7 linked regions of the Zea mays genome follow. Each later gene encodes a partner of the first gene's protein in a complex. Links are inferred from orthologs where the notes say so. Each region holds a gene or a part of one and is shown in the gene's direction. Other genes may lie near its edges. The genes, in order: 50S ribosomal protein L3, chloroplastic-like; 50S ribosomal protein L9; 50S ribosomal protein L5; 50S ribosomal protein L15, chloroplastic-like precursor; 50S ribosomal protein 6, chloroplastic-like; 50S ribosomal protein L27, chloroplastic; 50S ribosomal protein L1, chloroplastic-like.

Region 1 (3,058 bases):
GAACCATCCGCACTACACCAAGACACCACCAACGATGTACCGACACCCATGGAGGAAGATGACCTACAAGGGGAAGACCTGGTCGACTACGAAGCTACGCCAGAACACTTGGAAAATTAGAAAAAGTAAGGTGACGGATTGGTCAGGATCGCTATGACGCTCGACGGTGTTGGGACTGACAGTTCGATCAAAGCTAAAAGAGTCACGTCCGTTGAGTCAACCATCGGGACTAAGGCCACTACGTATCATCCTAGCAAGTGTCAAGATGCCTAAGAAAACTGATGTGATCACATCGAGTTAGTTGCTTTTGGTTCGCTCAGCTCCACCAAAAGGCAGGGGGGCATATGTTTGACACCAAAATGAGCCGGCGGACTGTCTGGCCCTGAGGCCGGACGGTCCGCGGTCCGGACGGTCCGCGCCTGTGGGCCGGACGGTCCGCGTGTGCACAGAGCAGATTAGGGTTCCGAGTTTTGTGCTACGATTGTTAGCTAAAATCATGGGATAAGCTCGGGAATTAGTTTGTAAAGGGTCCAGCCCCCTCCTCTATAAATAGAGAGGTATACGGCCGATTTGTAATCATCAATCGAATCAATACAACTTCTATTTCGCATTTTATCCTAGGAGTAGTTCTAGTCTAGTTTAGGTTTAGCCTCTCGATCCCCAAATTCTTCGCCTCTCTTCGACTCTACGCCGATTAGAGGAGTCTAGGTCGGCCGGCCCGAGCCTAGACAACCCCTAGGATCTCTCCTCCCCGACGGGGTCCCTCCCGGGAGCGAGATCCAGGCGCCGCCGGCGATCTTCCGCCGCCCCTGCGCACGCGCGGACCGTCCGGCCCTAGGGCGCGGACCGTCCGGCCGTCAGGCAGGAAACCCTAGCCCCTGCGCCAGGTCGCGGACCGTCCGGCCCCAGGCCGCGGACCGTCCGCGCCTGACCAGAGAGCACCGCCGCCGGTTCTTCTTGAGTATTTGGCGCTCCGAAAAAGCGTCAACAGCTCTGTTCCAACTTACCAAACACAGAACAGAGCGGCTCTGTTCCTAGAATCAGGGATGGAATGGCTCCGTTCTACTTGGCTCCTCAACCAAACACTAAGTACGTGACAATAGGAGAATGGATGGAGGTCTTGCCATGCAAATTTCTAAGCAACTGTATATACGCTTTCTTTGTAGAAAGGCGTATCTATTTGAGTCGCTTCCGAGCAGACGTCCTCCTTGGATAAGGGGATAGGCGCGAGGAAGAGCGGCCTATCCGCATCCGCATAAATCCCAGTCAAATTGAACGAGAGCGCCACTCCCCTCTGCTAATCCCAGTCAAATCGAAGCAAGCATGGCCATGGCGGCCGTGGGCGTGGGCGGCGCAGTGGCGTTCCTCCTCCCGCAGCGCCGCCAGGGCGCCGTCCCCTGGAGCGGCGGGCGGCGGCGGGCGCCCGTGGCGGTGCGCGCGTCGTACGAGGCCGGGGTGGGCGTGATGGCGACCAAGGTGGGGATGATGACCTACTTCGATCCGGAGACGGGGAAGCCGGTGCCGGTGACCGTGGTCGGGTTCCGGGAGGGCGGCAACGTGGTGACGCAGGTGAAGACGGCCGCCACGGACGGGTACGACGCCGTCCAGGTCGGGTACCACGGCGTGCGCGAGGACAAGCTCACCCGCCCGGAGCTGGGCCACCTGGGCAAGGCCGGCGCCCCGCCGCTGCGCCACCTGCAGGAGTTCCGGCTCACCGCCGTCGACGCCTTCGAGCCCGGCCAGCCCCTCGACTTCGCCGACCTCTTCAAGGAGGGCGACCTCATCGACGTCTCCGGCAACTCCATCGGCAAGGGGTTCCAAGGTAGTACACCGATTCTCGCGCCTCCATCCAATAGTGCGATTGCATTGCCAGCAACAGCAATTCTGCTAATGATCTGCCAGCCTCGGTTGTATGTGTCATTGTTCCGTTTCATGGAGAGTGAAGTTTTAGCAGCATTTGCTGTAGCTGTAGTTTCAAAGGTTTGCATTTGCGATTGCTATGCCACTTGTGCAATCTCCTAGCTTGCAACGTTCTTGATCCGCTCGCGCGCGGTTTTACTTGTGGCACTGCGCAGGTGGCATCAAGAGGCACAACTTCAAGCGCGGGCTGATGACGCACGGTTCCAAGAGCCACCGGCAGCTGGGTTCCATCGGAGCCGGGACGACGCCGGGCCGCGTGTACAAGGGGAAGAAGATGCCCGGGAGGATGGGAGGAACCAAGACCAAGATCAGGAAGCTCAAGATCGTCAAGATCGACAACAACCTCCGGGTGCTCATGATCAAGGGGGCCGTGCCAGGGAAGCCCGGGAACCTCCTCCGCATAACGCCGGCCAAGATCGTCGGCAAGAACATCCCCAAGAACTAGACTTCTTTTTTCAGGGGGGTGAATGTTGAGTGTTTGTGTTTGTTACCCTGCTACAAACTGGATGTAATCCTTTGCCAATTTCCAGTTTTTGAACACATGCAACTTCAGATTAGTAAAACTATAACCTGTACAATTTGGATGCTTGGGTGAGAGAGTAATAGGCAGGTAATGCAAGATGCACTTCTGGTTCCTGAATTCCGCTAAACAATAGTTGATTAATTCTATGGCCATAGATCATACAAATAGTTAAATACAAATGGTCGCAGATCATGCAGATATGTACTGATCTGAGTCAGGAAACGCAACCAAAACGGAACCAGGAAATGCGACAAACAAGAAAAACTGCAGACGTAACCTTGTGCAACAGGGGGGCAGAAAGGAGAACTTTGACATAATCGTAAAGCTTCCACTATAGCCAACTGAACGAATACATTTGCTACCACATCACCCTCAGAGAAGATACAAAGAAGACGGATTGTTTGGGCCACCCTTCAATACGGATTATTTGATCATAATAATAAGCCATCCATGCTTCTACTCTAAGAGCACAAAACCTAACACGGAAGAAGAAACAGTGGCCACCAAATCAGCTAGTTCCACGACCACAATTGTAGATATTTAGCTGCCCAAAATAGTCTGTACAAATGGATCACTCCTCAACCTGCACATAAAGAACATACGACCAAAGAAGTT
Region 2 (4,081 bases), about 140 Mb from region 1:
CCGTTACATTTTCACGTACTCCTTTATTAAAAGGGAAAATTACAAATTAAGTTTCTTAAAATCTGAACGCCTTTCTCTTCACGCCTGCATTTTAAATTATCCAGCCTGCGGCCGTGGCTTCACGCGTGTTGGCTGATGTATCTCTGAATATTACTGTTCACCGATCGCTGTTGAACGACTTATCACTTTACCTGTTCTTTCACGCACTTCGAAACTGGCGCAGCGGAGCGCCCCGTCCGGTCTAGTGTAGTAAATAGTAATGGGAAGTTGAATGCAGATGCCTCTTTTATTGAAATCTGAACCAACCCAACTTAATCTTGTAGTAATGAACTATATTTTTGGTCACTGCATTACATTTCCGAGTATTCTTTAAAAGGGGAAATTACACTGTAGTAATGGGAGATTTGAATGCAGATGCATAACCTCTGTTGAAATTTGAGCCATCCTAACTGTGTTAGTTGTGTTCGAGAAAAATAAAAGGTTGGCTGAGTTCGAGAGGAAAAAATGTTGATTGATTTAGTTCATCAGACATTTTTGTGATTGGGTTATCTCTTGTATTCTGACCTAGATGTTGAATTCTTTCAGGTCCATTGTTAATGGCGCTGCGAAGTGGCTGAACGACAACCTGTAGGCTGTAAATATTTACTGCAGGATAGAAGATTGTCTTACATGGTGCTGTAGTCCAATCAAAGTTCTTAGATTCATTGGGGGTCCCCACGAGCTCGTATATTCGTTTTATTGGAGAGCTGCAAGATTTTCAGGCTGAGTGGCAACCGAGGGAGTGAAAGTTGTCAACTAATATCGTCGCGGCGTTGGTCCCTTGTCATTCTTGCCAAGCAATTATTTTTATGTAGTTGGAGTCCTTTTCAGTCTGGCAAGCGGCGTAGAAGTCTGAAGCTGTGGGATGCTGATCCCAAACCCCGGGACTAGACAAACACTGTACTTGAGGTTTTGGATTAATCAAATTCACCGATATCGAATTGCAAACTTATCCAACTTACAAGATGCGATGGAACTATTTATTAGAAATACGTTTCGGTGATATCGAATTCTCAGTTTCGAGAAAGGGCTATCACGCCGGCAGTTCACGCGGCTGGATCCGGGCACGGCGACCGCGCAGGCTCCCGCCATGGACGCAGCGCGACAGGCGAGAGAAGCTGTGAAACGGGCTCTACGGAGCCGTGACATTATCCATTCCAGATCGATTGGGCCGCCGCCGCCGCTTTCTCATTTCCGGGCCCAAACCATTATTTAGGCCTCTCGCGAAGTCAGTGGATGGATAAGAAAGGAAAGCGGTGCGAGCGGAGGAGGCGACCGAAGCGCCACTTGCTTGAGTAGCGAAGCGCGAGAGCAATGGCGTCGCTGTCGTGCGCCTCCACGCTGCCCTGGACCCCCGCCTCCTACCCGCGGCCCTCGGCGGGGCGCTGCCTCACGGCCTCTCGCCGGGCTCCGTCGCTGGTCATCGTCGCCCAGGGGAAGGTCAAGAAGTACCGCCAGGTCGGCCCGGGCTTTCCGCGTGTTCTTATGTTCGAGTTCTGTGCTGATTTCATCTTAGCAATCAGTTAATGCACGCGGGTTGCTGAGGGCATCATAACCTGCCGCGTTTTAGTTTTCTTCTCTAAAAAAATTGATGCACCGCCGTCGGTACGTTTGTATATTGTGATCAATAGATACAAATGAAGTTAGCTAGCTTAGCTGTCTCACTGGCAACAGGTAAGATATAGTGGCTCGCACAATTTAGATGCTCCAAGAGTTGTACTACTACTACTACTAACCAGGCTTTTAGGCAGGGGATTTAGATACTAGGGATGAAATACCTTTGATGGGAGCCTTGCCTCACTAGTTGGAGTTCAGTTCATAAGTCGTTCCTTTTGCTGTGTTTGCCTGATTGTACAAGAATGCAACAACGGTGCATCCAGTTAAATTGACAATGTGGTGCTTATCTTGTGTAGCTATTACCGCCACCCTTAGCATTACATGTGATTTTACCTTTCTCCATAAAAAAAACAATTCTTTCCCATAGGTCATATTGACAGACGACATAGAAGAGGTGGGGAAGAAAGGGGATACACTGAAGGTGCGAGCTGGATTCTACCGCAACTTCCTCCTTCCCAAGGGCAAGGCTACACTTCTGACCCCAGAAGTCCTCAAGTAATTGCTACCAGCTCTCGGTTATCCCTCACTTGCTTTGCTTTGTTAGTTATGTCATTTAATCCTCAAGTAATTGCAAAGTCCACACTCTGTCAAATGATTCAGTGGCTGCTGGCAACCGTATGACCTTCTCTGTGGTATGCTTAGTTTGACTCTGAGGTTTGGGACCTAGGCACCTAGCAAAACTAGATTGAGATATGAATCCAATCCATGCACCTTTCTAATAGAATTGCAATGGTCGACACACATACTGTTTGATTCGATGGGTAAGTAAGATTGCGAATGAATTTATTGCCTCTACTTCTCTTCGCAGGGAAATGCAGCTGGAGCAGGAGAGAATAGAAGCTGAGAAGAAGCGGGTAGGAAAAAATATTTTACTCAGTAATAAATGTAGTTGCAATTTAACCTCAGCGACCTTTTTCTTTGTCTGGAGAGTAAACTTCAATTGCAGTTTATCCTTACTTTCCTTATGAAAAGAAAATATAGTGCCTTTATGTCCTCCGTAATTTAAGTCCTAAGCATGATATGTTCATGAAATTCTATCAATGCATTTTTATCAGTTTTTGTTTATAATTATGGCCTTAAGAAGTCCTCTATTTACATAGGTAAAAGAAGACGCGCAACAACTTGCTCGAGTTTTTGAAACCATTGGCGCTTTCAAACTCCCTCGCAAAGGTGGAAAAGGAAAACAGATCTTTGGGAGGCAAGTTCTAAGTTGGACAATCCATTATTTATTCTCTCTTGTCTCAGGCTATCTCTTACAGCTTACCCATCTCCATCTCTCATTTCAAACTCTACTTTGTACACACTGCAATCTATAGTGTCACTATCTGCTGGGTATAGTCTTACTTTCACTTTTCTGACGATATCTTTTATTGTACAGTGTCACGGCACAGGATGTTGTTGACATAATAAAGTCACAACTTAATAGGCAAGTGCATATGCTCCTAACTCCTAGGCAATCTTAATAGCGTTTCTCATCATTATATTGCTTCTCTTACTGCTGGCACGCTGTGTCTTGTAGGGATGTCGACAAGAAGCTGGTGACGGTTCCAGAAATCCGTGAAATCGGAGAGTATGTTGCAGAGATCAAGCTTCACCCAGACGTGACAGCGCGAGTAAGGCTGAATGTCTATGCGAAATGAGCTCAGCAGTTACAGAACCTCGAGTAATGGACTTTGGAGAAGCCTGATGTTTGCCAGGCGAGCTCATTTGCCGTTGTTCTTTCCTTGAGATTTGGCTCTTAGAATTCCGCTGGTCTTGCTCTTACACAGTTGCTTTTGTTTAGTGCAGAGATTTTGCTGCAAGTGCCAGGTGCTGCGGTAGACATGAGGCCTGGTCTGGCCGTGACTTGCCTGGTTTTGATACACAATTCACTGGCTCACTGCGCATCCTATTCCCTACCGTGTGAAGTCAAGTTTTCAACAATTATATCTGTTGATTTTGAGGCGGAAAATATAAATTGTTGTAAAGAACAATTTGTTTGAACTGTAGAGCACTACTTCGCCAAAAACGACCCTTCTTTCTTGTCCTCTAACCTTCCCCACCTCTACGTCTGCATCCACTACAAAAAAAAGGCAAGAAATTTGCTAAGTATGGGGCTCCATAGAGCGTTATTCAGATTGGAACACCAACGTACTTGACACATGAACTGCGTTTCTTTTAGCCAAAGTCTGGGCGTCACCAGCGATCTGATACAGATTCACGCAAACCAACTGTATTCATCTCAACATCCACGTTCTACAAAAATGACAGTTTCACATCGTTGTCTAAAAATGCAATGACTCCCGAATACCAGTACAACTCCTCGCTTCACCCTTTACAAAAATCCTTCTGCTTCTGCTAAATGAACTAGCATCATAACTGAACAGCCAGCATTGCAGGCAAGGGGGCATTGCACAGAGCTAGAAATAGCCTTTCCGCTTACGCC
Region 3 (3,398 bases), on another chromosome or scaffold:
GTGCCCCTAGGCCTTATATACTCGACCGTGGGGCAGTACACGTGGATATGATAACAACAAGTAGCTAAAAGGTAGTGAACCTCTTGAGTTTATCCCTACGTAACCCTCGCCGACTTATCTTCGCATGGCTCCGCTGCATGGGGGCTTCAGCGCGGGAAAGTCGGGTCTCTGTTGCGATTTACTCGCTCGACGTTGTGGGCCATTCGGGTTTGCACCAATCCGGTATCACGTCGCTCTGCTTTGTTGGTTGTTTCTCCCCAGGCCCACAAAAGAATGACCTTACGATTTATTGGGCCCTTGGGCCTTTCGTGAGGTCTTTTACTCCTTTAGTGGACCCGGGGGATATCTATCCCCCACACAACAGCCTTAGGCTCCATGGCATCCAATTGTGTTGTCACATGGAGCATAGGGTGTCCACAACCCCTGTCACGATAGTTTGGAATATTGCATCTCATTTTTGGGCCAACACAACCAACACACTAAAGACATCAATCATGGTTGAAAGAGAAGAGTAAGGCCATGTATACAAAGTACACAAACTAGTCTACTTCACGAGTGAGGTCCTATTAAAGTCTAAAGTACGATACCCGCAAGTCTAGAAACCACTCTACACCCTACTAATCATATTGCACAGACTTTGCCACTAGGTCTGGACGAGAAACTTGTGGATCCATAACTCGCTCTCATTAGTGGCTTGATACATCTTGGCTCGTTTGAAATGAGTCACGAGCTCAGCCAACATTTTAGTTTGGTTCTTAACGAGCCAAACGAGCTGCACAGCTGCCCTGCGGCCCAACGAGGCCCAAGCGTCAAGCGACCTAGCCCAACCAAGCGAGACGTAGACGACGAACCACATACGACAAATCTACTATATTCAAGCTTGAATATTCAGTTTTCAACATTTTATTTTGATTTGTATATCAATCTTTCAATATTTTATTTGATTTATATGTGGTGTGTCATGACCAAGCAATAGTGCATGACAATCTTGATAGCAAGCTACCATTATGGATTCTAATTGAACTATTTTTGTCATGCACTTTAGCTTGAACATGTGTAATCAGTTTAATATATGGTTACCTCTCACTAAAAAATATATATGTAACGTCATCATGGGCACATGTCCCACATATCAAATATTAAACTGATCACACTTGTTTTTTAAGTTGTTTTTTACACGCATGACCAGCTCAATGACTGTTGTTAATCACGTATTCACGATATTAGGTTCGTTGTTAGCAAAACAAGGCTGTATTATGATGTTAATCTTATTGATCCACTAAACAATCTTGGCTTGGGCTTGATGGGCTTTAGCCATCTCTGTATCCTCAATGGGTCCAAGTCCAGAGCACACGAAGGCCTAGCCCAGAACCACTGGATTGGCCACTGCCAGCGGCACAGCCGACGCCTTATCCAGCAACCGTCTTCCTCATCCATGGCATAAGCCGCGCCCGCCTCCGCACGCCCCGCTCCGATGGCAGCCGCGGCTGTGACCCTGCCCTCCTCGGGCACGCCCTTCGCCGTCGCCACAACCGCCTCTTCCTCATCCGCCCGCCGCTGCCTGCTCCTGCCCTCCGCGGCTCCCCGCCGAGCTCTCCGCGTCGTGGCCTCCGCCGCTACCGAGGCGCCGCCCAAGCCCACGCAGCCGCCGACATCGCCCTCCGGCATCGTGCTCGTCGACCCATCCGAAGCCCAGAAGGTGCACCGGCTCAAGGCCGTCTACGACCAGAAGGTCGTCCCGCTCATCACCGAGGAGTTCGGCTACACCAATGTCCACCAGGTGCTCGACCGTCGACCCTGCTCCTCCTCGCCGCGGAAAGGCCCGCCGTTCCTCCTTGTAGCTAGGCTAATTTGCTGGCGTGGTAGGATTTTGACTTTTGATGAGTCGTGCGGTTGGTTCGAACGGCTAGGTTCCCAAGCTCGAGAAGATTGTGGTGAACTGCGGTCTGGGCGCGGAGGCAGGGAACTCGAAGGGGCTGGATGCCGCCATGAAGGACCTGGCCATGATCACCGGGCAGTGGCCCGTCAAGACCAAGGCCAGGAAGTCCGTGGCCAGCTTCAAGATCCGTGAGGGAAACACCATCGGTATCGCAGTCACCCTCCGCGGCAGGGTGAGCCTCATCCATTGCTCATTTGGCCTCGGAGTGTATTTCGTGGCAGTTTGGAATATGGCAGCTTAGTATAATCTGCAATACAAGTGGAAATTGTGAGCTCGTTTCACTGGTACAGGGCTCATTTCTTTTTCTTTTTTTTGTCCTTGGCTGTAGATAATGTACAACTTCCTGGATAGGCTCATCAACCTTGGGCTCCCTAGGACCATGGACTTCCTGGGTGTCAACCCCAACAGCTTCGACGGGCACGGCAACTACAGCCTTGGCCTCCGTGACCAGGGCGTGTTCCCGGAGATCCCGTACGAGGTGGGCGGGAAGAAGAACGGCATGGACGTGTCCATCGTCACCAGCGCCAAGACGGACAACGAGGCGTTCAGGCTGCTGGTCCTCCTCGGCATGCCATTCTCGGAGAACATCAAGACCGACGTGGTGATCCGGAAGAAGAGGTTGAAGCGCCACCACTTCCTGAGCAAGGGCAAGGGGAAGGGAGGACGACGGTGAGGAGAGGAACCAGCCAGCCAGCCAGCCCATGGTTGCACACGCTCTGTTCAGCTTGTTTTAATTCCGATCTTTTTGCAGAATTTGGCTTACAAATTCGATGCTGTTGTTGTCTGTCAATTATGTAACTTGTGCACCTATGAAAAAGGTTTGCAATGATCATGTCCGTTTTGCTGATTTCTTCTTGATGCATAATTTGTAGTCACAAGTTATACCACTGCCAGACATTGTAATCGGAGGAAGCAGTAATGTGAGACGGACACTGTAATGCAAACGTATTTCAGCTGCATTTCTCATACTGCTTGTCTAGACTATCACCGAAGAGCCTATATGATCAATGATCTCTTTTGGCAATCGGCCTCAATAGCTACACTTCGGCAGCTCGGGTGGGCCGATGACGAGCTCTTCCTCCGGGAAGGCGCACGGCTTGCCCTCCGCGGCGAGCTCCGGGCACGGCTTGGGCGAGACGTGGGAGGTGACCCCCTTGACGTTGGTGCAGTTCCACTGCAGCTCCTTGGCGTCCGGCGCGAGGCGGGCGGTCACGTTGGATATGCAGATCCCGGTGTAGGGGTCCTTAGGGATGCCCTCCATCCTGCCGGCCATGGTCACGTTCTCGGCGAACACGTCGCTGTAGTTGATGCCGGTGACCTCGGGCATGGCGTTGGGGTCGGACGTGTTGTCGGGGTGCTGCCCGTAGTTGCCGGTCATCCAGAACACCCACTTCATGGTGTGGAGGCTGAGGCCGCGCACGAAGATGTCCCTGACGAAGCCGCCCCTCCCGGCGCCGGA
Region 4 (3,599 bases), on another chromosome or scaffold:
TAAATACTAATCAAAGCACCAGTTAAGATACCAATTAAAAGTACTCACTAAGGTACCCATTTTTGTGAACCATGAAGGTGACAAGTCTCAATTACACCCTTGTAGCTTGCTCAATCCTCCTATCCACCTTGAGATTATGTAAGATCACTAAAGAAAACATTAGTCTCAAATAACACAAGATATGTGTGCTCCCCTCAAATTCTGCATCAAGTACTTGAATACAAGGTTACAATAAGCGCTAGGCGTTAGGCGGGCGTTAGGCCACTGTTTAGCGCCTAGAGAGCTTAGGCGTAGATTAATCGTGCTTAAGCGTTTGTAGGAATATACAATATAATATATATATTTGCACAGAAAAAACAGTTTTAGCTAGGAATTAGGGGTACTTACCTGGAATAATGAATAAAAGTATAGAACAGAAGAGATGGAGGAGCAGAGCAAGAGCAGAGGGAGAGGGAGAGCACGCCTGGATAGCTAGGGAAAAGGAGCAGAGAGGCGCTGACCCCGGTGGCCTGGACGACTTGACCAGAAGGAGAAGAGGAACCGACGGTGGCGGCCCTGGACAGCTGGGGAAGAGGACCAGTCTGGCAGCGGCCCTGTTTTCCTCCTCTTCCATGCAACAGCAGCTGCAGCTCCCAGCCTGTTTCACTCTCTCCCGGGCAACAGCAGCTCCCACCTCTTTCCCTCCTATTCACTTTCTATTCCCGCGCAGCAGCTTTTTTCTATTCCCGCGCAGCAGCTTCCGTGCTCACCTTTTCCCCGCGCGCCGAACCCCGCTTCCACACGCCTCCTTTCCGCCTCAGCGCGCATAGCGCAAATCACGCGCCGCCTACACGCGCCCACCGCGGAAACCACCGCCTAGGGCCTAAGCGCAGCGCTAACATGCCGCTTAGCGTCTAATCGTGATTAGGCGGGCGCTTAATCGCGCTTTTTTGAACATTGCTTGAATAACTTATTCTACCCACATTCTAGCAATTAAGGATGTGTTTGGTTGCCGGACAGAGTTTTTTGCTTAAGTTTGTGCATATTGCAAATCTTTTTGAAAAGATGTGAAAAAGGTATGGTTCTATCCCTTACTCAATTATTTTAGTTGCTAACTATGTTTGTCTAAGCGTTAGAGAATATAATGTATCAAAGTTTTGATATAGTTCTATCTTCTATTCAGAAAAATACCGATTTTTTCTTCTTTATATACAACTTTCGAGTATATTATTATTATTGACATGAATGGGCCACGGCTGTTTGAAAAACAGGCCCAAATAAAGAGTGGAAGAGGCCCATCGTCTCCATCTTATCTCGTTCCCAAACCCCAATTATCCGCTTCTATCCACAATCGCAATTCGCAAGCCCTTCCAACGGCAGTCATGGCTTCCATCACCCTCCTCTCCCTCGCTCCCACCGCCATCTTCCTCCACATCCCGGCTTTCACCTCCTCCTCCGTCGTTGGTCCCGGAATCCTAGCCGGCCGCTGGGCCGCGCCCCGCGCCCTCCCGCTCCGCGCGCTCCCGCCCCGTCGCGTCACCGTCGTCTGCAGCAGCGCCGCGGCGGCAGCCGAGGCCTCGGACGCCGCAGCGCCAGTGGAGAAGTTCCGGCTCGACAATTTGGGGCCCCAGAAGGGGTCCCGCCGGCGGCCCAAGCGTAAGGGACGCGGTATTGCTGCAGGCCAGGGCGCGAGCTGCGGGTTCGGTATGCGCGGGCAGAAATCGCGCTCGGGGCCCGGCGTCCGGCGCGGGTTCGAGGGAGGGCAGATGCCGCTCTACCGCCGTCTCCCCAAGCTACGGGGCATTGCCGGCGGTGAGTTGCTTCAGTTAAACCGAAGCTTCCCCTAATGCACTCAATCGAAGCAACTCGCTAAGCTCTAGTTCAGACAGATGCTTGTCTCACACCCCCACTTCGGCATTGCCCATCCGTGATTAAATTCACACCAGGCTGGCGCATAACTAATTGAACTATGCATTGTGTTGTTACTCGTGAGAGCCCATCAAGGTTACAAGGAATGCAGAAATGCAAGTGATTGAGAAGTTGCCTGATGTGAGTTCCACCATGGCTTTTCAGGGATGCACATTGGCCTGCCGAAGTATGTGCCATTCAATTTAAAAGACATAGTGCGCGGCGGATTCAAAGATGGTGACGAAATATCACTGGAAAGCCTGAAATCACGGGGTCTGATCAATCCATCAGGCAGGGAAAGGAAGCTGCCGCTGAAGGTAAATCTTTTGATGATTAACCTTTGGTTGTTTCAATAAAACTTGTTTTGTGGACTGGTATTTGTGACATAGAACTTGACACGTTCGAAAATATGAATGACTTCATATTCAAGGGTTTGGCTTAGGTCTTGGCCAGTGAGGACATGTTCTCTTTAAGGCAACCTTATTGTACCCCAGATTTGAAGCAAGAATCGAAGTGTTTAGTGATTTGTCGTTAGATTGAGTGGCCAGTATTCTTACTTTTTTACTTCTTATAGGTTGTTGTATCGATTCTGAATTAGCCTGTGATAATGTTAGGTACCAAGTTTATCCACTTGAGTTAGAGTCATCTATTAGAACATGCAATACGGGATCGAGTTTTTTTGGTTGTTTCTGTTAGATGAGCACCACTTGAAGTGTTGAATAGCTTTGTTTGTACAATTTGGCAATGTTCCCATAGGTTGTTCATTGGATTTACAATATATTCTAGAGTAACTACAAACTTCCATATCTGCTAACATAAACATGAAGTGGCATGTGCCACCTGTTAGTTTTTGCAATCATATTTTGTCTTACCTTCATGATCACTTGTTGTTCACCTGTTTGTAGATCTTAGGAGATGGGGATGTATCAGTTAAGTTGAATATCAAGGCTGGAGCGTTTTCAGCTTCAGCTAAAGAGAAGCTTGAGGCAGCTGGTTGTTCCCTAACTCTGTTACCTAAACGAAAGAAATGGCTTCCACAAAATTATCTAAAGAACCAAGCCCGAGCAGAAGAGTACTTTGCCAAGAAAAAAGCTGGTGCTGGTGAATCTGATAGCGGCTCTGCATAGAATTTCTTTGCGATGTACTCTTCTCTTGCTTTTAGCATATGCTTATTACTGAGCAAGACACACCGGCTCAACTAAAAATGTTCATAACTTCTTCATCCAAACTCTGACTTCGATGATATTAGACATTTCGGAAATTTTATTTAAAGGGCTACGATAGCCACTTTAATAATTGATTCAGAACAAAATGGACTAATCCAGAATTCAAATCCAAAGACACAACCCTTGGTTAGGAGAATATCGAAAACCTTTTTTTACAAAGAAAGTTAACTCCAAATGATTTCCCACGTGATGATCAACACCTTTAAGACTTAGTTAGCATTTTCAAAGGTTTTTTATCTCAAACTTTATCCACCACTTGATCCTAGCAACATATGCAAAGTTAGATCACTCAAGTGGCTCTAGATGACAGATATGGAAACAATGTTGACTATCTTAATAGTACGACCATCTATTTTAAACCAGATTATGCACAATTCTACACAACCTTTGATTGGTGAAATGAGATGCTCTGCAAGTAATACATTTCCCTTGTACATTCTATTTCATCTCCCGAAACAATGACACAACACAAGCATCGACCTCTAT
Region 5 (2,357 bases), on another chromosome or scaffold:
CCATTTCTCTATTTCTTCTATCGGTCCTGAAGTACTTATTTCTTTTCTGATGGATGGATGAATGGATGATGGTTCATTAATGAGTACTTGCCGATGTGGTGATGTCTGAAATCTAGATAGTTTGTGTTACATGTTAGTACCTAGTTATCCCTTAAGGGCTTGTTCGGTTACACGAATCCAGAAGGGGATTGGAGGGGTTTAAATCCCCTCTTAGGGCTGATTTGGTGACCCGGGATCCCGGGAGGATTGAAGGGGATTGAGGGGAAAATTAGTTTATTTCCCCCTCAATCCCCTCCAATCCTCCCGTGATCACCTTGTCACCAAATCAACTCGGTTGATTTGGTGACAAGGTGATCACGGGAGGATTGGAGGGGATTGAAGGGGAAATGAACTAATTTCCCCCTCAATTCTCTCAAATCCCGCCGTAATCTCTGGTCACCAAATCAGCCCTTATTGGCTAGTTTGGAAACTCACATCCTCTTCGGGATTGAAGGGGATTGGAGAGGAAATTAGTTCATTTCCACCCCAATCCCCTCCAACCCTGAAGGGGATTTGAGGTTCCCAAAGTAGCACTAAGGGTTAGTTTGGAAACTCAAATCCCTTCAAGATTGAAGGGGATTGAAGAGAAAATTAGTTTATTTCTACCTCAATCCCCTCCAATCCCAATGGGGATTTGAGGTTCCCATTGACTAGGAGGGGATTTAATACCCTCCAATCGCCTTCTGGATTGGTGTGCCTGAACATGCGTTAATTGGAGATGGGGACCCATTGGGGACCCAAAACCCGAATGAGGATGAGTATGAGATGAATTTTGCACCCATAATGGGTATGAGGATGGACTAAATATGATAGGAATGAGTTTGGGATGCTATAACCCGATGGAGAATTCTCCATTAACATCTCTAGATGAGTTAGAGATAGCTTTAGAAGTACAAGCTAGTTGTGCCGAAACATTTTTCAACAAAATTCGGGAGACAACTGATCGTTGTACCAAAAGAAATATATTATGTACCCGTGAGCCTCATTTTGTTTTGTTGAAGCTTCATCAACGGCACATCTTAGACCACGGAATTTTATAATATAAAAAGGTGACATGGCATTTTATGATAAGAAGAGGGCAGGGGACTAAACAATTACAAGTTTTTTTTAAAAGAAGTGGAGATATAAAAAAGGAAAAACACTCGATGAGTGAGCGGTCAGATGATCGCACATAGTGTGGGCCAGATTTCGCTCAGCGTAGCAAATCCCGCAATCACAAAACCCAATCCGAAACAGTCCTCCTCCCATCTTATCCCAAACACAACCCACACTACTACCCTACCCGTCCGCCTCTCTCGAAAGCGCAGCACCAGCGAGCATGTCGCCTGTCACCGCACTCCTGGCGGGCACGGTGGTGCCGCCGGCCTCGGCCCCGTCGCCAGCGAGGCACGCCCGCCATTACTCCGTCGGCTTCTCCCCGCTCCACGGCGGCGGGCGCGCGGCGCTGGCGGTGGAGTGCTCGTCGCGGCCGCAGAAGAAGGGGACCAAGCACCACATGAAGACGCGGCCCAAGAAGACGCAGCCGTGGGACATCAAGCGCCGCCCCACGCAGTACCCGCCGCTGCCGCCGCTCCCGCCGGACTGGACGCTCGTCGCCTCCGGCGCCACGGTGGACGTGGAGGAGGCGGAGGCCCCGGCACCCGCCGCGACTCTCGTCCTCGACGTGGCCGCGGCCACCGACTGAGGCCGCCGCGGCGTGTCGCCAAAGTTGTTCCCTTGAACCTCCGCATAAGCTGTTTTTCTTTGAGATTTATTATATAATAACAATGGCTGCCCAGATTTTGTGATTATAAATTAAGAATCTTTCATTGCTGTCCAGATTGTGGCTGTCACCGCGTCCAATTTAGTGCGTTGCTAGATGATTTCTTGGTTGCATGCTGTGTGCAACGCTTATTCCATGCCGTCAGTGGCAGTGCAGACTGCAGAGTGATTAGCTACTCCATCTCCATAGTTTGCCAGTTAAGTTATGATGGGATATGGATTACGCAAATATAGTCTTCAAAAGGGGGGGAAAACAAGCAGCCCAACGAAGACATCTGCCTCTTGTTTGACTTTAGGAGCTGGCTCTGTTTGATTTGGACAATTGCCTGATATTGGGGAAGGTTCGGTAAACAGTAAACTCAGCTTAGATGGCAGGAACAGCCATTGAACACTGCAAATGATAGGAAATTTTAGAAGTAACCTAGTTGTTTGTAATGTTGCTTTTGTTGGAGCATGATTGTGCGAATTCCATATGCTACCTGCCTACCTAGGGATGGCAATGGATACGGGTATGGGTAAATAACCGCGGATAATTATCCATTGGATATGAGTATGGT
Region 6 (3,640 bases), on another chromosome or scaffold:
GTTCCAGAAGAAAAAAAGGTACCAAAACCTGTCACTCATGGGGAAGGGATCACATTCACATTCACATTCACCAATCACCATCATGGCCGGTCGGTCGCGGCGTCTCTCTCTCTCTCTCTCAATCCTTCTCTTTTTTTACAGTCACGGCTGATATGATCTTGGGTTTTATCTAACCCTCCCCATCATTCTCGTTTAGACCCAGCCTGCCTGCTTGCTTGGCCTTTTCGTGTCCTTTTCAGTTCCAAACTATTCACCGTGCAGTGGCAAAGATCGATATGGACTAACATTTTACAACCGCAAGCACGCTATAATTTGTCACAAATAAACAAGAGTGGGAAAAAGATAGAGGAAATGCGTTGTGTCGGTCGGGTCCGGCCGGGGTGGGGTGCGGGTGTGGGTGTCGCCGGCGAATCGTCAGACGAGGCAATGATCGCCGGCGGTCAATGTCATCTCTCCGTCCCCCTGCTGACGGTGCGTGCGGTGCGGTGACTGCTGCTAGTACAAGTAGTAGCAGCAGCCTGTGAGCGCCGTGCGCTGCTGCCTCTTTGAAATTTCTGGCATCCCTAGTGCCGCCGGAAATCTAACGCACACGGAGACGGAGGAGTAAACAGTGCAAACTGCAGCGAGTGAGCGGATGGAGCGTCTGGACTCTGGAGAACACGAGATTATTAGTGGGTGGTGGTGGTGGTGGTAGGGCCCTGTTTGCTTGTGTGGTCTGGTCTGGGCCATGATTAACTTGGACCCCCAAACGCTCTGCATCTCCCGCGCTTTCGTCAAGGATCCTAATCATGCCATGTGTCGGTCGTCTCCTCTTCTTCCGGCTCCAGCTTTGCCGTTGCCGCCGGTCAAGCCCATCATCATGCCTACTGCTTCTCTTGCTCTTGCTCTTGCTCCACAACAAGCCTGCCTGTCACTCTAGCTAGCTTCCCCGGCTATCTCCCCACGTGCCGACGCTAGCTAGCTGTGGCCATTCAGCGTCTCTCTGTGCAGCTCCGGAGGGAGGAACAAGATGATGCCCTTTTGGTTCACATATCATGTTTGTTTAACTCTAACTGAGCCTATTCAGACTTATTATCGTTGGTACTTGAATGTGAATCATTATCGTTACCACTTACGTTACATATCATGAACCAAACACCACCACACTGATCATTTTGTTTTCCCCCTGAATGATTCCTTCGTGAATCCTGTGTTGCCTTGCCTAAAACTACAAGGACCAAAACCGGCCAGGAGCATAACACCATTTCCCTCCCTTCCAATTCGGCCAGACACTCTGCAAGCACCACGAGGCCCATCTGCAAGTAAGGCCCAAAAACTCCAGGACCCAAAACACTGGGCCAACCACGAACGAGCCCACGTCTCCCGACTGCATCCCTTCTCCACTCCGTTATCACCAGCGCCCACACCTCTGTACCTCACCGCCTCATCTGCTCTCTTCCCCCGTCTTCTTCCCAAGCTGCCACGTTGCCTCCCTCCGCTCCAGCGGCCCATGGCCTCCATGGCGTTCGCCCTGGCGGGGGCCTTCAAGGGCCTCTCCCTGGCGCCCACCACCACCACCTCCTCCTTCCCGCGCTGCGACCGCGCCTCGCTCTCCGTCGGCGGCGCAGCGGGCGTGCCGGTGCCGGTGCCGGCGCGGCGGCTCACCATCCAGATGGCGCACAAGAAGGGGGCCGGGAGCACCAAGAACGGCCGCGACTCCAAGGGCCAGCGCCTCGGGGTCAAGATATACGGCGACCAGCTCGCCAAGCCCGGGGCCATCATCATCCGCCAGCGCGGCACCAGGGTCCTGCCCCCCTCTTGCTCCCTTCGCTTCCCTTACCTGTTACTGGTTTGCTTTGGGTTAGTAAGACAGCCTAGGCTCTTGCTTGCGTGGATTATGGTACCTCGTTGACTGGCTCTGCTGGGCGACATAGCTCTCTCTGCCTAGCGTTTGCTTGCTGCTCACCTGCTGCTGCTGCTGCTGATGCAGGTTAAGCATATTAACCACCGACCAGTACCTTCATACGGATTACGGACTGCGAATGCTAGAATCTTACGATGTACCTAGAATGCTTGCCATTGCACATGTTACGTTGGAATGTATGCTGCCATTGTGCATATCTGCATTTTCCATAGTTTACCACTCTGCAAAAGCAGGAAAGAAAAGATTGCAGTTTCTTGCATACATCAGATAACGGGAGGGGAAAGTGCACACACAAACCTCGCTGGGGAATGTAACGTACTAACCTCAATGCCCTATGGAGCCAACTGGTGGTGACTTAGGGGGGTGTTTGTTTGGGATTATAATCTGCCCAGGTTATATAATCCAACAAATTTTGAACTAAACACCCACCTTACTCTGCACACATGGTCAGACATAGCTGTTCAATATTAGGCATACTGTAAGATGGTCGGTCAATCCTTGTAAAAGATATTTCATGAACTTACATGTCTTACGATTTGGTTGGTCCGTCCTACTTACCAGCGCGCTTCAAATATTTAAGATGTTTATATATTATGGATACTACATGGTTTATACCATCGTGTCCCTTGTATAGAGTTCGTTTTGGTCCCCGTTTTGTGGTCTGTCTGTTCCTTGCCGTTTTTAAGTTTTTTCTTAAAATAAAATCTTTTGGACATTTCAGGTCTATCCTGGAAATAACGTTGGAATGGGCAAGGATCACACACTCTTTTCTTTGATAGATGGACTCGTCAAGTTTGAGAAGTATGGGCCGGACAAGAAAAAGGTTAGCTGTATCTTAGTTACTACATACTGAAATCTGCTTTTACTTGCATCTGACTGAGATCTGGTTGCACACCAGATATATGCTCATCTCACTACCTCTCCTTTCATAGGTTAGTGTTTACCCATATGAGAAGGAGCCTGAAAACCCAAACAGTTACAGAGCAAGGAAGAGAGAGTACTTCCGCATGCGGCGTGAACGGAAGAAGGCGAGAGCGGAGGGCGCCGCTGAGCCTCAGTTGGTACTAGCTGCTGTTGATGAAAACTCTGAGGTCAGCGCGGACTGCTGATAAGTTTCCTGTGTGGTGTTTCTCTTTTTCACAGCCCTTGTTACACTTTTTCTTCCTTAATTGTAAGACCACATGATCTATAAAGGTCATATTTACATGTGTTGTTTAGATAAATGGATATGTTCTACTTGTACTTTTTGTGGGGTAGTTGTGCTTTAGAGTCACAGTGGGGGTCTATTCCAACTTCCTAGACCACTCCACGTAGGGCGTGTTTGGTTCGGCTTTTTTCTGAATAGCTTTTCTGAAAAGCTGGTGGTTAGAATTTAGGTGTTTGGTTCGCCAGCTGTGCGGAAAAGCTGTTCGTTAGAATCTAGGTGTTTGGATACACAGATTCTCAGATTGCAGATTCTGTTTGAAGAAACTATACACATTAACACCGAACCAACAAAAGGTCATTACATATAATTAGTGGAGTTCATTACAACATAACTACTGTTACATTTACATATTTAACTACGGCACTAATGCATTAGCAATTGCATCTCGAAATGCACTCATGTCTAACTCATCAGATGTGATACTACTACTCTCACCTACAGATACATCATGACCAAGGCTATTAGGTCCTAGTTCATCAAAGTCTCTATCGTGTAGAGCACTGTCTCTAATGAAGTTATGCAATGTCATA
Region 7 (4,228 bases), on another chromosome or scaffold:
CTACTTAGCCGTTCTAACTTTAACAACTAAGTTTTGTGGCTATTAGTGTTGAATTTTACAGGATCACCTATTCACCCCTTTCTAGGTGCTCTCAATATTGCTACAGTTTTTGTATATCATATATGTTGCATTTCCTTAAATTATATATATATATATTCAAACATGATTATATTTTTTTTTTAAATTATAGTGTATAGATATATATAATCTCTCCTTTATGTACCACAAATGGATGTGTGCCATAGTGGTAGGAGCCCTGCCGCGTTGGACGGACACGGGCGCTCACGCGTAGAGGTGGTAATGGATCACGATCCAAATGCCTCTTCACAAAAGTTAAGGCCCTTAAATAATATTAGTTCAAAAATGAATAAGAATAGAGCCCGACCCTAATCCGATTCGATCCTTAAAATTTGCAGTATAAAGTTTATAGCCCATTACCACCCCTACTCACGCGTGAGAGACACATGGCGACGCACAAAGAAAATTCTATATTAAAAGTGTAGTGATATATGAGATAATTTTCTCTCTCTCCCTCTACATGGTGGCAGCAGGGGAAAAAGTTGGAGCTCCTGCACTTTCTAAAGTTCATTGTATGTATGTGGAGTGGTGTGCCATTGAAACAACCTAAAGTCTGATTACAAAGTGAGAAAACCACATGTTATGGTCACACTACCAATGTATTACAACATAGGCCTCAGAACTATAGGAGGAATTGACGGTGGAGGCACGAGTGAAGGGGAGAGGGCGACGGGGACGCGAGGGAGGGAGAGGTTGGAGGCGACAGATTGTGGGAAAGGGAAGGGTGACATGACAAATGATAGATGATCTAGATAATATTGTTCATCATTGAATTTGAGTAAGGGTGATAGAGTTATCCAGCTATCTGAATTTGTTTGGTGGATAATCTAAATAATATAGTAGTATAGATATAGAGTAGAGTCAAGGGCCACACACAAACAGTTCGCAGTCGCAGGCTGGCAGCCACAGCCACACATGCGTCCCTCGTCGCTGCCGCTCGAACCCACACGCGAACCGCGACCACACACCTGTCCGGCTGCCTCGCGCGCATCCGCATGGCTCTCGGTCCTCGGGGCTGAGCCAAATCAGGAGCTCCGAACACCTGCGCGCGTCTCGGCCCAGCCAACTCGCCGTGTTTCTCCTTACCCGTCGCCCGCGCGGACACGACACGATCGCACACTCGTACACCCGCTCGTCCCAACTCCCAACCAAGATCAGGCAGGTGACCGGGCGTCTCGGTTGAGCCAAAATCACTGGAATCAGGGGGGAGGAGTTTTCCAGGCGCGGCGCCCGTCATCCCTGCCCCTGCGAGGCTGCGACCGCGAGCCCGCCCACGACCAGCCCTATCCGATGAACACCCAGGCCGAGATCTTTCGGCTATAACCAACCCGCGCTGCCACTTCGGCTTCTCTTTCTATCCCTCCACTCCCTCTTATCTGCTGCGCCATCCTCCCCGGCCTCCACCATGGCCACAGCCGCCGCGGCCACCGCCTCCTCCTCCCTCCTCGCGCCGGCGGCCAGCAGCACGGCGCCGGCCTCGTCAAACGCGCTGCTGTTCCCCTCCTCCGTGCCGTCGCTGCGTGCGTACCCGCGGCTCCTCCTCGCGTTCCGCCGCCCCGCCGCGGCCGCCATCGCCGACCCGCAGGGGGCCGTGCTCGAAGAGGAGGCGGAGGTCGACCAGCAGGGCCAGTACGACGACGACGACGGGTATGAGGGCGGGCGCGGCCCCGCGTTCACGGCCCCCACGCGCCCGCGCACCGGCAAGGCCGCGCTACTGCTTAAGCGCGACCGCGTACGCATATCGCCGAATACCCCACCCTCCGTATATGGTTCCTGTGGCTTGCTTGCTTGTGTACGGCCGGTGATGCTGTGCTAGTTTTGATGGTGCGCAGACGAGGTCGAAGAGGTTCCTCGAGATACAGAAGCTGAGGGAGAGCAAGAAGGACTACGACGTGCCCACCGCCATCTCGTTGATGAAGCAGATGTCCAGTGCCAAGTTTGTTGAGTCAGCGGAGGCGCACTTCCGCATGAATCTCGACCCCAAGTACAATGACCAGCAGCTCCGGGCCACGGTATTGTTTCTTCTTTTCTGGCCTTCTCTTTTTGGTTGCTTGTGCCCTGTTGCGTTCGTTAATTTGTGCTGGTCGTGGTGACCACAGGTGAATTTGCCCAAGGGAACAGGCCAGTCGGTGAAGATTGCGGTTCTCACACAAGGTGGGCGGTGATTGAAACACAACGAAATCCTGTTGAGCGATAGTTAGTACAAACTGAATTCACTGTGCTAGTGGGTCATATGTGTGATTGTTCTGTTTGACACTATTGCCTTGCCTCATGTGTGACTATGGGTTTAATCTGAAACACGCTTGTCTTTATTTTTATGCAAACATTGTGTGCTGATGACCCGATTGGTTAATTTTGTATTTTTTTTCTTCTTAAAGTACCATGGCTTCTTTCAGAGTTCAAATGCAACATATTGGATTGGACAAAGTTAATTCATCTTTGGCATCTTGGTAGAAGAATTTAACAATCAGTTTATTATGTTCATGATGTTTCTACTTCTTTGTTTTTTACAAGAAGTCACTTGGGAGTTGGGATGGTGCTATTTTTGTGCTGTCCACTTAGCAAACCCTTGTTGAATGACTGAAACTTCTCTTTCATATCCTTTGTGAAAGATAGTCATGTTTTTCTTGTCATTATCATAAAGATGGTAGCACCAGTAGTTGAAATAATCATGGTCATTATATGCATTAATAGTTATTTTCTGACCTCACAGGTGAGAAGATAGATGAAGCTAGAGCTGCCGGAGCTGATATCGTAGGTGGAGAAGATTTGATTGAACAAATAAAAGGAGGATTTATGGAGTTTGACAAATTGATTGCATCACCTGATATGATGCCTAAGGTATGAGCTATTAACAGTTCTGCCTTCATTTCAATTTACTGTTGGATACTACCACAAAATTTGAAATGAAATATTTAGTTGTGCTTACTATAGGTCCTAAGTGTCTTACCATGTAAACTGTTAATTTTTTTGTTTTCTATAGATAAAATAGATTGGCTATGCCAATCTAATTTCGGAATACAAGAATACATGTGTGAGATGTTTCATTCTTTGATAACTAATGCTAAACTAAATGTCCAAAGTTCTGTATATATTTGTTGCATTATTTGACATGTTCGTAGAAACTTTCAATGTGGGCTCCCCTTTAAATGATTATCAGCCTGAGTTATTTCTGTTTACTTTTCAGGTTGCGGGCTTAGGTAAGATTCTAGGACCAAGAGGACTGATGCCTAACCCCAAAGCTGGCACTGTTTCTTCAAATATTACTCAGGTATTGAGGAAGTCAATACAGATTTTGTTTGCCTCAGTTTTTTTATCGATATTCTAAATCGTTTGTCTTCATTGCTTAGTCTGGGCACTGTGACAAGATTTAAAACTTCATGCCCTTGTAGTATTTACTGACTTCTAGGATTCATGTACAAGTAACTTCCTACCTTTATCAGTTGCATTTACTTTCCTGTACTCCGATAATTCAAGGTTCAGGCATGGTGTTTTTATTGAACACATGTTTGTAATTTAATTGTGCATAGCAAGAGTTCAGGAAGTTGAAATAGTTGGTTTTACTGATCGCCGAGGAAACTAGATGAGACACATGTTGGAAGATATGAAGCGTTATCAGTGGTAATAATATGAGTAAACTACACTGGCGGTCCCTAAACTATTATGTAATTCTCATTTGGGTCCCAAGCTATGAAATTGCATATCTAGGTCCCTAAACTATATAAGTATCATATCTTGATCCAAAATAACCACATCACAGTCCATCAACTGACGTGGCACTCCAGCGTGAAGCTGACATATGGGTCCATAGTTCATAGTTACAAGGGCTGTCTAAACTATCATAGGATTCTCAGCTAGGTCCCAAACTATAAAACTACTCATCTAGGTCCCTAACCTATTAAAGTACTACAATCCTAATCCAAATTTTATAGTTTGAGACTTTTGTAAGAATCCAATGATAGTTTAGGTATCATCCTTGTAATTATGAGTTATGGACATGCATGTCGGTTCCACGCTAGAGTGCAATGTTAGCTAATGAACTGTGATGTGACTGTTTTGCACCGGGATGGGATACTTAAATAGTTTAGGGACCTAGATATGCAATTTCATAGTTTGGGGATCTAAATGAGAATCGTGCGGTAGGTTAGGG

The links.
Region 2: 50S ribosomal protein L3, chloroplastic-like (region 1) and 50S ribosomal protein L9 share a complex: the UniProt entries of both Arabidopsis thaliana proteins name them as parts of the 50S ribosomal subunit. The link is inferred for Zea mays from reciprocal best matches to the Arabidopsis thaliana genes AT2G43030 and RPL9.
Region 3: 50S ribosomal protein L3, chloroplastic-like (region 1) and 50S ribosomal protein L5 share a complex: the UniProt entries of both Arabidopsis thaliana proteins name them as parts of the 50S ribosomal subunit. The link is inferred for Zea mays from reciprocal best matches to the Arabidopsis thaliana genes AT2G43030 and AT4G01310.
Region 4: 50S ribosomal protein L3, chloroplastic-like (region 1) and 50S ribosomal protein L15, chloroplastic-like precursor share a complex: the UniProt entries of both Arabidopsis thaliana proteins name them as parts of the 50S ribosomal subunit. The link is inferred for Zea mays from reciprocal best matches to the Arabidopsis thaliana genes AT2G43030 and RPL15.
Region 5: 50S ribosomal protein L3, chloroplastic-like (region 1) and 50S ribosomal protein 6, chloroplastic-like share a complex: the UniProt entries of both Arabidopsis thaliana proteins name them as parts of the 50S ribosomal subunit. The link is inferred for Zea mays from reciprocal best matches to the Arabidopsis thaliana genes AT2G43030 and PSRP6.
Region 6: 50S ribosomal protein L3, chloroplastic-like (region 1) and 50S ribosomal protein L27, chloroplastic share a complex: the UniProt entries of both Arabidopsis thaliana proteins name them as parts of the 50S ribosomal subunit. The link is inferred for Zea mays from reciprocal best matches to the Arabidopsis thaliana genes AT2G43030 and RPL27.
Region 7: 50S ribosomal protein L3, chloroplastic-like (region 1) and 50S ribosomal protein L1, chloroplastic-like share a complex: the UniProt entries of both Arabidopsis thaliana proteins name them as parts of the 50S ribosomal subunit. The link is inferred for Zea mays from reciprocal best matches to the Arabidopsis thaliana genes AT2G43030 and EMB3126.

Annotation. Positions count from the first base shown.
Region 1 is NC_050100.1:79,035,706-79,038,763, reverse strand, and holds 50S ribosomal protein L3, chloroplastic-like, read left to right. Parts: upstream 1-1,179; 5' UTR 1,180-1,323; coding exon 1,324-1,822; intron 1,823-2,075; coding exon 2,076-2,365; 3' UTR 2,366-2,558; downstream 2,559-3,058. UniProt on the Arabidopsis thaliana protein: One of the primary rRNA binding proteins, it binds directly near the 3'-end of the 23S rRNA, where it nucleates assembly of the 50S subunit.
Region 2 is NC_050100.1:222,785,531-222,789,611, reverse strand, and holds 50S ribosomal protein L9, read left to right. Parts: upstream 1-1,281; 5' UTR 1,282-1,353; coding exon 1,354-1,497; intron 1,498-2,023; coding exon 2,024-2,151; intron 2,152-2,464; coding exon 2,465-2,510; intron 2,511-2,756; coding exon 2,757-2,854; intron 2,855-3,034; coding exon 3,035-3,082; intron 3,083-3,175; coding exon 3,176-3,296; 3' UTR 3,297-3,353; intron 3,354-3,439; 3' UTR 3,440-3,664; downstream 3,665-4,081. Other genes in the region: Chaperone protein dnaJ A7A, chloroplastic, read left to right, coding at 586-631; methyltransferase WBSCR22, read right to left, coding at 4,056-4,081. UniProt on the Arabidopsis thaliana protein: Binds to the 23S rRNA.
Region 3 is NC_050096.1:5,387,174-5,390,571, reverse strand, and holds 50S ribosomal protein L5, read left to right. Parts: upstream 1-1,371; 5' UTR 1,372-1,474; coding exon 1,475-1,780; intron 1,781-1,910; coding exon 1,911-2,111; intron 2,112-2,267; coding exon 2,268-2,612; 3' UTR 2,613-2,898; downstream 2,899-3,398. Other genes in the region: glycoside hydrolase, family 28 precursor, read right to left, coding at 2,970-3,398. UniProt on the Arabidopsis thaliana protein: Binds 5S rRNA, forms part of the central protuberance of the 50S subunit.
Region 4 is NC_050096.1:27,447,139-27,450,737, forward strand, and holds 50S ribosomal protein L15, chloroplastic-like precursor, read left to right. Parts: upstream 1-1,360; 5' UTR 1,361-1,361; coding exon 1,362-1,791; intron 1,792-2,052; coding exon 2,053-2,204; intron 2,205-2,792; coding exon 2,793-3,014; 3' UTR 3,015-3,099; downstream 3,100-3,599.
Region 5 is NC_050099.1:216,898,364-216,900,720, reverse strand, and holds 50S ribosomal protein 6, chloroplastic-like, read left to right. Parts: upstream 1-1,285; 5' UTR 1,286-1,357; coding exon 1,358-1,723; 3' UTR 1,724-1,857; downstream 1,858-2,357.
Region 6 is NC_050103.1:167,360,501-167,364,140, reverse strand, and holds 50S ribosomal protein L27, chloroplastic, read left to right. Parts: upstream 1-1,427; 5' UTR 1,428-1,489; coding exon 1,490-1,783; intron 1,784-2,624; coding exon 2,625-2,726; intron 2,727-2,835; coding exon 2,836-3,012; 3' UTR 3,013-3,140; downstream 3,141-3,640.
Region 7 is NC_050101.1:154,265,039-154,269,266, forward strand, and holds the start of 50S ribosomal protein L1, chloroplastic-like, read left to right. Parts: upstream 1-1,428; 5' UTR 1,429-1,483; coding exon 1,484-1,810; intron 1,811-1,910; coding exon 1,911-2,090; intron 2,091-2,177; coding exon 2,178-2,232; intron 2,233-2,791; coding exon 2,792-2,919; intron 2,920-3,265; coding exon 3,266-3,349; intron 3,350-4,228. UniProt on the Arabidopsis thaliana protein: This protein binds directly to 23S ribosomal RNA.